Linked DNA regions of Cricetulus griseus. The protein of the gene in region 1 interacts with the protein of each later gene in a biochemical or structural test. Links are inferred from orthologs where the notes say so. Each region holds a gene or a part of one and is shown on either strand. Other genes may lie near its edges.

Region 1 (6,129 bases):
AAGAGAAAGGCTAGCCTTTGGAAAACAGAAAACCTGGAGAATAGGACTCTATGCCACAGGAAGGGACCCTAGGGATAGAGTTAATCATTTCCAGGCAGAAACCAGCCAGGGTTACTGGTTAGACTGACAGCCCATTGACTGACAAACTCATTGTGACTGGGGGTAGCTCAAATTAAAGGATTTATAAGGGACTGGAATTTGTCTAATGTCCAAAACCTTTCATCTAGGTACTTCCCCTCATTCTGATGCCTGCTTTTCAGCCAGTTAACTCATCTGTACAATAGCAATATTACTACTGGGCCCTGAGACTACTTGGTGGGCGTGTACTAATGGTGACTAAATGTGCCTCTTCTGATGCTTTCCAAACTAAGTAGACAGGTTCATCAGGACCTAAAGGTGTTCAAAGTTTCCATTTCCAAATTAAAGCAACAGTTGCATTCCCTGCAGAAATGGTCCTACAAAATTGGAGAGGCTTAGACTTACTGCTCCTATAAAGGAAAGTATACATGGGCTTGGGAGAAACCTATTGTTTTTATGCTAATTGATCATGAGTAATTAGGAAAAAAATTGTTGTGGTTGAGGAAAACTTCCAAAAGAAAAAAGAGACAAAGACATAAAACAAATAATTAGTACCAGTGTCTGTTTTCTTAGACCTCCTGGGTCTATCAGCATTGGCTGGACCTTTAATTCTCATTCTGATTGGACAAATGGCAGGGCCCTGCATCTTAAACTATATGGCCAATTATCTATCAGTTCAGTAAAATTAATGGTCCTTAGGACCAACTACACCTTTTTTTTTTTTTTTTTTTTTAATTTTTGAGACAGTTTTTCTGTGTAGCTTTCGCTGTCCTGGAACTTGCTCTGTAGACCAGGCTGGCCTTGAACTCACAAAGATCTGATTGCCTCTGCCTCCTGAGTATTGGATCAAAGGCATGCACTACCACTGCCTGACCCAACTACACCTCTTTAGGGTAGGGTAAGCCCACAATTTGACTCATTCGATAAGACCAGTGGGGAATGTAACAGGGCCTCAAGACTAGGTCCTAGACCTTAGCACAACTGACCCCACAATGGAATTACCAGTAGACCATAAGACTCAGCATGTAGACAGCACCACCTAACAAGGCGAAAATAAAGACCTAATCTAATCAAGATCCATAGTTCTGGGAAAGTCTTTAAATTTACTAACCTTGCTTGATCCTTAACACCCAGTGTAGTTGCCGGCTGGCTAATAAAGACTTTCTATTGGCTTAGATGAATGTCTGAGCAGTTTTCTCTGGTAGATAACCCACAACAAAGGCACCAAACATCCAGGTGGTACACAGATGTGTATGCACAGGAAAAAGATCCATATAATAAAATACTAATGAAAAATTAAAAATTTCAGTTAACCAAAACCAAACCCAACAGAAAGCCAGATGGTGTGGCACATATCTGTTATCTGATCAACTGGGAGGTGGGTCCCAGCCTAGGGTGCATGAAACCCTGACTCCACCTGTCTCCTGACCCCCCCCCCCCCATGGCACAAAAAGGTAATCCTAACTACTCAGAGAATCAAAAGTTCAAGGCCAATTAGAACTCTTTAAGCAAGACCCTGCTCCAAATAAAAACTAGAAAGGTAACAACAGGACTGGCAACATAGGTCAGTAGGAGTGATCCCTGACTAGTATGAGCAGGGCTCTGGGTCCAACCCTCAGTGCCCCCAATGCCAGGAATTAAGAAGGCTGAGGATAGGGTTGAGTTCCAGGTCAGTCAGGGTTACATAGAGGCCGTTTGCTAATTCAAAACTTTCAGTTTACTCCATACAGGGAGGAAATGGGAGTTGGTTCCCCATGGGACACTTACGGACTTGGGTGAAGTTCTGAAGTGTGACCTCACCCCCACCCCCTTCTACTTTTGCTTCTTGGAACAAGAACAGATGTTCTATAAAGGCCAGGGCATTTATACTTCTAGAACTGAAAACAAGGCCTAGCATATAGTTGGCACAAGCTGCCAATATTAGCAATACATAAGATGCTTAAGTTTGACCAGTATACCTTTGTGGTGTCAATACATCCCTTTCCAAATTTGCGGACGTGGTTATAGTTACAAGGTTTATCCGATATTCAAATTTAAGGGGGGAACATACTGTTTTTTTGTTAGCAAGTTTTTGTTTGTTTGTTTTTTGAGACAGAGTTTCTCTGTGTAGTAGTCATGGCTGTTTTAGAATTCACCCTGTAGACAAGGCTAGCCTTGAATTTACGAAGAACCGCCTGCCTCTGCCTCCCAAATGCTGGTATTAAAGGGGAGCGCCACTATCACTCGGCTAGCATACTGTTTTTTTCTCCAGTAATCCCCGAAAGACTCGCTGAATTAACTGACCGGATGGTCTTCTCCCACCTGTTTCATGGAGGGAAACTCTACCTACTTCCAAAGGAATAAAATAAAGCCCCTGGTGCCCGGCGAGTCCCTATTTTGTATGTCTGCCCGAACACAACTCAGGAGCAAGAGGTCCTCGCCACTCGGGACCTCAGTAAATCAAAAGCTCGCATGCTGGGTCTAGGTGGTCCGCACCTGCGCGCCCAGGCCAGCCTCTTCCGGGTCAGGTGACCGCGCGCACTCACGTGACCCGGCCCGAGTGCGGGCGCTGGAAGGCGGAAGTGGAGCGGAGTTAGGCGCCGCTGGTGTGGCCGCTGCAGGTAGGTGGCGCGGGCGCTGGGGGCTCGGTGGCGAGCGGGCGGCGCGGGGTGGCCGGGGGCGGCGGGGGCGTGAGGGCTGGGGGCGGCGCGGGGCGGGCGCGGGGGCGGCGGCTTCCTGTGGGAGGGGCCTGGCGCGCGGTTCCGGCCTCCGAGGAGGGGTGTCCCGGCTTGCGCCCGAGCGGGGTGGGCGCGGGGCCCGGTGGGAGTCGCCAGCTGCTGGCGCTTCCGGCAGGGGACCCCTGCCTGGGCGCCTGCGGTGCGCAGGAGCCGCGTCTGTGGAGGGGACGGGACCTCGGCCCGGGAGACTAGCAAGCTCCCCAGAAGGGGCTGCCTGGGAGTGGGCGTCTGGTTTGTAGGGACGTGGAGAAAAAATCTGGACGATGCGGCCTGGACCCCATTCCGAGAGTCTCTTCCTTCCATCCTCTTTGAAGATGATGGCGACCTGAGACTTTAATTTCGGTCCGGTTCAGTTTTTAAACTTCAGGAGGGATCCCTCAGTCTTGATCGGCTGACTGTGGTCACACCCACTTTGCCCTGTTTGCTTAGGGTTCCCTCTTGTTAGGAGCCTAGCCCTTCAGATCATCTTTCTTTGAGATGCTCCCGGATCGGCTGATCTTCGAAAAAAAAAATAAAATAAAGACGGTGTGGGTGCTTTACTGGGATCATAACATGACTTTCAACCTACACAGTTGTCAGCGGCTTGGGCCAGCGTTACCTCAGCAACGCATTGACTGCTTAACTCTTGGACAGTAGAAAGTCTACCGATACTGCTTTAGACGATGCATCTTAGGCTTAAATTACACAGTTTCCTTTTCCATGAGACTTCTTATCTTGACCAGCTGTGACTAGGTGGGGTGACAGAGAAGTTTCTGTGGTATTCCTTAGAACTGTGACCTAGATCACATTTTTTTTTTTTTTTTTTTGAGGTTAAGATACCCATCTTAAGATTGTTCATCTTCCAGGCCGAGGCGTGAAGATGGCTGCAAGTTCCAGGCCAAGCCGGCCTGGGCTACACTGTTAAGACCTAAACAAACAACCAAGCCCTCCTCTTTTCCTTCACATTTACTAAACTTTGCAGAAGTGAAATGGGTTTTGTGAATGCAGTGAAGGAGTTAGAGTTCAAATGGGACGTTGACAGGAGCCAGGATCACAGGTCACTAGGGCAAAAAAAAAAACCAAAAACTTTGCATTAATACATTAGGAGTGGAAGACTTTGGGGTATATGACAAACATTCAAAAGTTAATTTTTGTAGCTGTCATGAGAAATCAATCCCCACTTCACAGAGAACAAACAGCTAAGAGGGTTGACTTTAAAAATATTTATTTTTATTTATTATGTGTGTGTGTGTTCGTGTCTGTGTATGTATGTCATATGTAGGGTGTGGGTGTCCACAGAGGCCAGAAGAAAGCATTGGGTCCCTTGAAGCCAGAGATACAGGTGGTTGTGAGCCTCTGCGCTTTCTTTCTTTTTAAAAAGATTTTATTTTGTCTGCATTCATGTCTATGTGAGGCTGTTGGATCCTCTGGAGCTGAAGTTACAGACAGTTGTGAGTTGCCATGTGGGTGCTGGGAATTGAATTTGGGCCCTCTGGAAGAGCAGCCAGTGCTCTTAATCACTGAGCTGTCTCTCCAGCCCCAAGCCTCTGGCCTGTCATTCTGGGAACTAAACTTTGGTCCTGTGGAAGAGCACTAAATACTCTTTAACTGTTGATCTATCTCTCTAGCCCCAACTTGACTTGTTTACTCATCTTCCTGCTAGACTGTAAATCATTCAAGGGCAGTGATCCTATTTTATGTGGCTTCCTTGGCTACTAGCCTCATGCCTGGTATGTTGTGAGTACTTGGTCAGTGTTTGAGAAATAAGGGAGTTTTTAAAGGTCACACTGCTGTATGTGGTGAAGAAGGGGTTTGAACTTAAGTTTCCTGTCCTTTTTCTGGTCAGTGAAGCTAGTTTTGTTCTGTGTTATTGGTCCCTAGGAAACCAAGGAGCCTGAGGCCAAAGGCTTGGATTGGCTTGTCGTTCTCTTTCACTGTTTTTTTTTTTTTTTTTTTTTTTTTTTTTTTTTTTTTTTTTTTTTGTCATTGAACTTTACACCTTACCACTGAGTTGGAGCTGTAGCCCTTCCCCTCTCCCCCACTCCTGTGTAGCTTTGGAGCCCATCCTAGCACTTGCTCCGGAGACCAGGCTGGCCTCAAACTCACAGAGATCCGCCTGCCTCTGCCTCCCGAGTGCTGGGATTAAAGACGTGCACCACCAATGCCTGGCTGTAGCCCTTCTTTTTGTAAGTTTTTTTCTTTTTCTTTTGAGACAGACTCTCAGTAAGTTTCCCTGGGTGGCCTCAAACTCCTGTAGCTCAGGAAAGCCTTGAACTTGTGCTCCTCCTGCCTCTGTCTCTTGAGTTAGCTGGAATTACAGGACTGCACTACCAGGTCTGTCTTTCATTTAATGACTACTTTCCCACTTGCAAAAAACTTACACCAGGTTCTCATTTATTCTTATATTTGGTTATTTCTTTCCTTATTTAAGACAAATTTTTATTATGTAGTCCTGACTGGTCTAGAGCTCACAAAGATCCACCTGCCTCTGCCTCCCAAGTGCTGGAATTAAAGTTGTGTTAAATTAAAATAAATTTAAATCAAAACTATGCTCAGCCTTTCCTTTTTTGAGACAGGGTCTCACTGTGGCTTTTGGCTTTTTGATACAAGGTAGGTTGTAGCCCAGGCTGACTTCAATCTGGCTATGTTGCTAAGGAACTTATGATTGGTTGATTCTCTTGTCTCTACCTTCCAAGAGCTGGCGTTGCAGCATTCATTTACCATTGTGCCTGGGAAATGAATCTCATGGTCTGTGAAAGGTGCATTACTCTCATTCTATGGGTGAAGAAACTGAGACTTACTGAAGTCCTGATTTTAGATTCCAGACCTAGAAAAATAAATGAAGGGGTTGGTTCTCCCTTTCCACCGTAGGGGTCCTGGAAATCAAGCTGCAGTTGTCAGGCTTGGTGGCAAACACCTTTACCTGATGAGCCAGCTTTCCACATAGGGTTTTTATGTTAATTTTTTTATTCCTAGACCTATTAGTTTTTATTCATAGAAACAATAAGAAGTTTCATTTAAAATAGTTTTCGAATATAAAAAGTATGCTATTAGGATGCATATAAGTGGCATATACTTGTAATCCAAGCACTGGGAGGCAGAAGCAAGAGGATTGCTGGTAAGTTCAAACATTCAGGTACAGCTTGAGTTACAAGAAAGGAAGAAAAGACATGTAGAAAAAATAGAATAGGGTCAGAGAAAACATTGTGAATGTACAGCGTAACTGACTTTGAGAAAACCCTTCCTGCACTATACTTCTATACTGTCTCAGTCCATTTTGTGGTGCTGTAACAGACTACCACAGCAGGCTAATTTATAGACTGTAGAAGCTTGTCTTGGGATTGATGCTGAGAGA
Region 2 (6,277 bases), on another chromosome or scaffold:
ACCAAAAAAACCTGGGGCTGAGGACACAGTCCAGTTTAGTAGAGTGGTTTGCACAGTGTCCAAGAGAGCCTGGAGTCAGCTAATCCAGCGCATTGTAACCCTGGCAGGGAGATACACAGCTATAATCTCAGGAGGTGGTAGAGCCAGGAGACGAGGAGTTTAAGGTCATCATCATATAAGAGACCCTCTATATTAAGTAAATTAACAAATAAATAAATCTGGCCAGGCATGGTGGCAGAAGTCTGTATTGCTAGCTCGGGAGGTAGAGGACCAGGAATTTGAGGCCAGCCTTGGCTACATAACTGTTACATAGGAGTCTGAATGGGTTCTAAGATGCTTTTTCTCAAAAACAAACAAACAAAAATCTGTAGCCATTTTTATTTATTTATTTATTTATTTATTTATTTATTTATTTATTTTGGTTTTTCAAGACAGGGTTTCTCTGTGGCTTTGGAGGCTGTCCTGGAACTAGCTCTTGTAGACCAGGCTGGTCTCGAACTCACAGAGATCCTCCTGCCTCTGCCTCCCAAGTGCTGGGATCAAAGGCGTGCGCCACCACTGCCCAGCGCTATTTGACTTTTATGAGAGTGTACCCAGAAAAAAAAAAAAAAACTAAAGAATGCAAAAGACTCCTTGCACTGAGTCACCCCGAAATTCCCAAAACTGTGTCTCAAAGGGATAGTGCTGCAATTCCTGCCTGAAGACTATCAGTATCTTATTTTTATGCAAATAAAAGTGTATTTCTTCAACATTCTGTATATTACCGTATAGAGTTGGATTTTACTTTTTTTAAAAGAAGACTTACTTTATGGGACCAGAAAGGTGGCTCAGCAGCCAAGATAACTTGTCCTTGCAAAAGACACGAATTTGGTTGCCAGCACCCATACAAACAGTTTATAACCATCTGGATCTGCAGCTCCAAGAGATGTGACACCCTCCTGTGTCCTCCTGCGGCTCCTGTACACACTGTAGTACACATGCATGCATGCAGACAACCCGTTACATACATAAAGTGGAAATAAACATTTTTAAAATGTGTTTTCATTAGTTTTTAATGATGTGTATGTGTGCACATCTATGATATATATATATATATGATGCATGAGAAGGCCAGAGACGTCAGCGCCTGACCTCAGTGCTGGAAAGCAATCTCGGGACCCCTCCTTCTCAGCTGCTGAGCCATCTATTCACACACACGCACACGCACACACACGCACACGCACACACGCTACACCACCACCACTTTTTTTTTTTAAAGACAGCGTCTTACAATAGCTGAGGCTGGACTGGAAATCCTTATGCAACCCAAGCTGACCTCCAATTTGCCGCAGCTTCCTGCCTCAGCCTCCCAAATGCTGGGATGTGAACCGCTATGCTGTCTGCTTGGGACCAAACCCTGATCCCCCAGATCTAGGGATAGTGAGGACGTCCCGCAGTCCTTCCCGGCCCGCGAAAGAGCCACCTCAGATGGAGTTCAGATTCTCTGCAACGTAGTGGACAGACACCCACGCCTGGGTCTTCAAAGTCCTGCTGTTTAGACTAGCGAGCTAGACTGAGAGGGCGCAGCGCCATCGTGAGGCCAGAGGGTGCAGGGGGCGGCGCAGGGAGCCGCGCAGGGGGCGGTGCAGGGGGGCGGTTCAGGGGACCGGTGCAGGGGTGGCCGGTGCAGGGGGCGGGGAGGACGGTGGGGAGGACGGTGGGGAGCCGATCACTCTCCCCAGAAGTTCACACTGTCCGACTCGCGGGGTCACGGTTGGAGGTGATTAAAGCGTATTTTGCTGGGACTGTTCCAGTCCACCTTAGACAGGGCTACGTCTCGCACAGCCAAGAGTATGGGCGAGGACGAAGGCGGCTCATTAAGTGGTTTAAAGGTGGCACACACCAAGTCACCACGTTTAAGTTACATCTCTCCAATTGAGTTTGCTTAACACGAGGAGGCCGGTTTGGGAGACGCGTACAGATGTTTAAGACTTTGTAAATAACCTAGCAAGCCTGTCCTAGAGTTAAAAAAAAGACTACAAGTCCCAGAATTCAACCACCACTCAACGCAAGGAGAGGTCGCGGTTGAGGGAACCATCGCCTGCTGGGAATTGTAGTCCGCGGCTTGTTTGTGATGCAGGTGCGACTTGGGGGAGGGGGAGCGGGAGTAAACTCTCGCCACGTGACATCGGAGGTCAGGTGGTTGGTCAGCCTGCGCGCAGGAGCGATGATTGGCTGGCTGTAATACGAACGACGCCACTGGAGGCGGGCCGAAGACCGGCGCAGGCGCAGAGCGCTGCGAGTCTCGGGACCCCAGTGGGAGGAGAGACTATGGCGCTCAACAAGAATCACTCGGAGGGTGGCGGAGTGATCGTCAACAACACTGAGAGGTGAGGACGCGGCGGAAGGATCCTGGAGGCTGGGGGCGGAGGCGGGCGCCGTGTGGTGGGCGGTGGGGTGCGGTGAGGAGGGGCGGTGGTGGAGCGCTGGGGGAGGGGGCGGTAACGGCCGGGGGCGGGGCTGGAGGGCGTGGGTGGGGCGTGGGTGAGGGGGGGGAGCCGGGGGAGCCGGGGGAGCCGGGGGAGCCGGGGAGCCGGGGAGCCGGGGGGAGCCGGGGGGGGGGGGGAGCCGGGGCGGCGGGGACGTGGGTCCTGAGTGAGGCCAGCGAGCCCCCTCCCAAATGGAGTCCGAGAATAATTGCTCTGTGTTGGGCGTTTACTACGTGGTTGCTACGCGGCAGGAGGCGCGGCGTGGGTCGGTTCTGCCTCAGATAACAGCTAATCTTGTGCGGCAGAAACTATCCCACACGGTTTACCGGTAGGGCAAGCGAGGCTCACACAGGGCGAATAACCTGGCTTAGGGCTGTGAGTGACCGATGGGACCTGAGGCAAGAGTCTTGACCGCAAAGCCAACAGTTGCTTAACCACTCCTGTCCAGTCTCCTCGTATATTCCAGAACTTCTCAGGTTCCAAGAGAAAGGCTGAGGCCCTAGAGGTGGAACTGAGGGGCTGTCATCTGCTCACCCAGTGCCTGGCGCCCGCGGGCCTTGTAAAGGCGTCTCCCTTGTGTCGCTCGCTCGCTCGCTCGCTCGCTCGCTCCCCTGGTTCTCTTGGATTCCTGAGGGCTTAAGTCGCTCGCCAGAGTAGAAGTCTCTCAACTGCAAGATTCTTTTTTCTCTACCCCTCACTGCACCATCCACTCTTCCTCTCCAACTTTTGGGCCCTCTCTGTCGCTTCTCTTTTCCTTTCTTGCTCGGACATTGGAAATCAGACTCTCTTGACCTGAGCTATGCAAGCTTGAATGTCTTCTTGAAGGCCAAGGGAGGCGTGGTCGAAGTCAAAGCCATCTTGGGACCTGTCACTTGAGAATGTTTGATGAGTCAGAAGAGAAGGTGTGGGGTGACACAGACTGGAAATGCTGATTTTGTCTCCATAGTTCTTGGCAGGTTCTGGCCAGCCCAGCAAGTTTTTTTTTTTTTTTTTTTTTTTTTTTTTTTGGTTTTTCGAGACAGGGTTTCTCTGTGGCTTTGGAGCCTGTCCTGAAACTAGCTCTTGTAGAACCAGGCTGGTCTCGAACTCACAGAGATCCGCCTGCCTCTGCCTCCCCAGTGCTGGGATTAAAGGTGTGCGCCACCAACGCCCAGCTGATCACTTCTTTATTATTATTATTTTTTAATTCTTAGTTTTTCGAGACAGTTTCTCTGTGTAGCTTTGGAGCCTGTCCTGGAACTCACTTTGTAGACCAGGCTGGTCTGGAACTCACATAGTTCCTCCTGCCTGCCTCTGCCTCCCCAGTGCTGGGATTAAAGGCGTGCACCACCACCGTCCAGCTGGTGATCACTTCTTTAACCTGAGCTGGCCTCTTTTATTGTGTTCTAAGTCCTCTATTACCTTTGCACCAAGAAAGGGTATTTGGGATGAGGAGGAGACATAAGAATTTGGACCCTTATGTCATGTAATCTGAGAAACCTTATTCTCTGGTGTACTTAGTCCAGTACCTTGGCTGGTCAAGTACTTTGATGCCATTCAGTGGTGTCCCCACCACTACCCCTCTCTCTGGTTTTCAGTCTATGGTTTCCATCCAGATTGGCCTTGAACCTGAGGCAATCCGACCTCTGGCTTTTGAGAGCAGGGAAATCAGAGATGTACCACCACAACCAGAGCTGTTTAGCTTCATCGTTTGAGAGTGGTTTTCCTTCACTTACTCTGGCTTTTATGTAGAAGATTTCTGCCCTCCTGGGCTCAGCACCTGGCTCATTGCTACCAAATAGGGTCCTGGGAAGAACTTCAGCCTCACTTCTGAAACATGTGTCAGTAATAATTGAAATGTAAGTGCAGTGCTCAAACTTATGATATTTAAACTAGTGAACAAGCTGGGCATTGGTGACCACACCTTTAATCCCAGCACTCAGGAGGCAGAGGCAGGCGGATCTCTGTGAGTTTGAGGCCAGCCTGGTCTCCAGAGCGAGTGCCAGGATAGGCTCCAAAGCTACACAGAGAAACCCTGTCTCGAAAAACCAAAAAAAAAAAAAAAAAAACAAAAACAACCCCCCCCAAAACTAGTGAACATTAACCTTTAATTCACAAACCACTGTTAGAGATAAAGGCTGTGAACTCTTCCCAGAAAACCGAGCACACAAGTACACACACACACACACACACACACACACACGCACGCACGCACGCACGCACACATACAGACACACACATGCATATACACACATCTCAAGGGCTTTATCCACAGACATTTTCTACAGCTCCAGCTAAAGAAGCTTGGATTAAAAAAAAAAAAACACACACACATAGAAACAACAACAACAACAACAAAAATATGATCTCCCAGAGGGCCCATTTAGTTCCCCGTATCAATGTCAGGCGGCTCACAACCACCTGTGTCTCCAGCTTCAGAGGATCCAATGAAACTATAGAATCATGTCTTTGACTCTATACTTTTATTATTTACTTATTTATTAGCTGTGTGTGTGTTGCTGGGGAAGAACTCAGAACTGTGACCATGCTAGGCAAATACTACTGTGCTGCATCCCCAAGTCCCATTAGACTCATGTTTATATATTAGGGTTTTGTTTGTTTTTGTTGTTTGTTTATTGTTGTTGTTTTGGTATTTTTGAGACAGGCTTTCTCAGTGTAGCTCTGGCTGTCCTGGAACTCACTCTGTAGACCAGGCTATCTTCACAGAGATCCACCTGCCTCTGCCTCTGGGGTGCTGGGATTAAAGTCGAGCACCACCACTGTCCGGCTATATTAGTTTTGTTTTGTTTTGTTTTATTTTTTAGGAAAAAAAAAAACAGTAAAATTGTTGTGGCTGTGACTCAGGTGGTAGTATGCTTTCCTGGGATGCACAAAACCCTGTGTCCATCCCTAGCACCTCATGAAAGCAGCCTGGCGGTAGAAGTCTGTAATCCCAGCACTTGGGAGATGCAAGCAGGAATAACTTAGCAAGCTCAAGACCAGCCTCAGAAAGCCCAAACTAGAATGCCTGTCACAGGGCTTAAGAGCAGACTGAAGAGAAAACTCAGGTGACCTAGTCCAGTTGGAGAGATGAAGACAGTTCTCTTTTTTTTTTTTTTTTTTTTTTTTGGTTTTCGAGACAGGGTTTCTCTGTGGCTTTGGAGGCTGTCCTGGCACTTGCTCTGGAGACCAGGCTGTCCTGGAACTCACAGAGATCCTCCTGCCTCTGCCTCCCAAGTGCTGGGATTAAAGGCGTGCACCACCAACGCCCGTCGAAGACAGTTCTCTTACCCTGGTCACTTGGGGGCTGTAGAAATGGAGCTTGGGGACTATCTCTACCTGACAGTCCTGATGGTTTACTCATAGTCCTATTGCAACAGTGTTGTGAGTGACTTAGTCCATGTCTCCAATGACTCATGACTGATGACATATCATCTGGTCTTTTTGTGTTTTTTGTTTTTCATCACAGCATCCTAATGTCCTATGATCATGTGGAACTTACCTTCAATGACATGAAGAATGTGCCAGAGGCTTTCAAAGGGACCAAGAAAGGCACTGTCTACCTTACCCCATACCGTGTAAGTTGTACAGCCAGTTAGAGGCTCCGTGCTGCCAGATGGTCATGTGTATTTCTACTTCACTTTGTGACACCTGTGGTGTCTGAGCCCTGGGGATGCAAGTGTCTCTCCTTCACTTTGTGACACCCATGTCGTTTGAGCCCTCGAGATGCAAGTGTCTCTCCTTCACCTTGTGACACCAGTGGTGTTTGAGCCCTGGGGATGCAAGTGTCTCTCCTTCACTTTGTGACACCCATGGCGTCTGAGCCCTGA

The links. The genes of interacting proteins can lie anywhere in the genome.
Region 2: the proteins of Wwp2 (region 1) and Wbp2 form a complex in vitro, tested with the Homo sapiens proteins (4 studies listed by BioGRID, with this or other methods). The link is inferred for Cricetulus griseus from reciprocal best matches to the Homo sapiens genes WWP2 and WBP2.

What each region holds. Positions count from the first base shown.
Region 1 is NC_048596.1:183,767,437-183,773,565, forward strand, and holds the start of Wwp2 (NEDD4-like E3 ubiquitin-protein ligase WWP2), read left to right. Parts: upstream 1-2,582; 5' UTR 2,583-2,678; intron 2,679-6,129. UniProt on the Homo sapiens protein: E3 ubiquitin-protein ligase which accepts ubiquitin from an E2 ubiquitin-conjugating enzyme in the form of a thioester and then directly transfers the ubiquitin to targeted substrates.
Region 2 is NC_048600.1:128,669,006-128,675,282, reverse strand, and holds the start of Wbp2 (WW domain-binding protein 2), read left to right. Parts: upstream 1-2,211; 5' UTR 2,212-2,310; coding exon 2,311-2,369; intron 2,370-5,916; coding exon 5,917-6,025; intron 6,026-6,277. UniProt on the Homo sapiens protein: Acts as a transcriptional coactivator of estrogen and progesterone receptors (ESR1 and PGR) upon hormone activation. In presence of estrogen, binds to ESR1-responsive promoters. Synergizes with YAP1 to enhance PGR activity.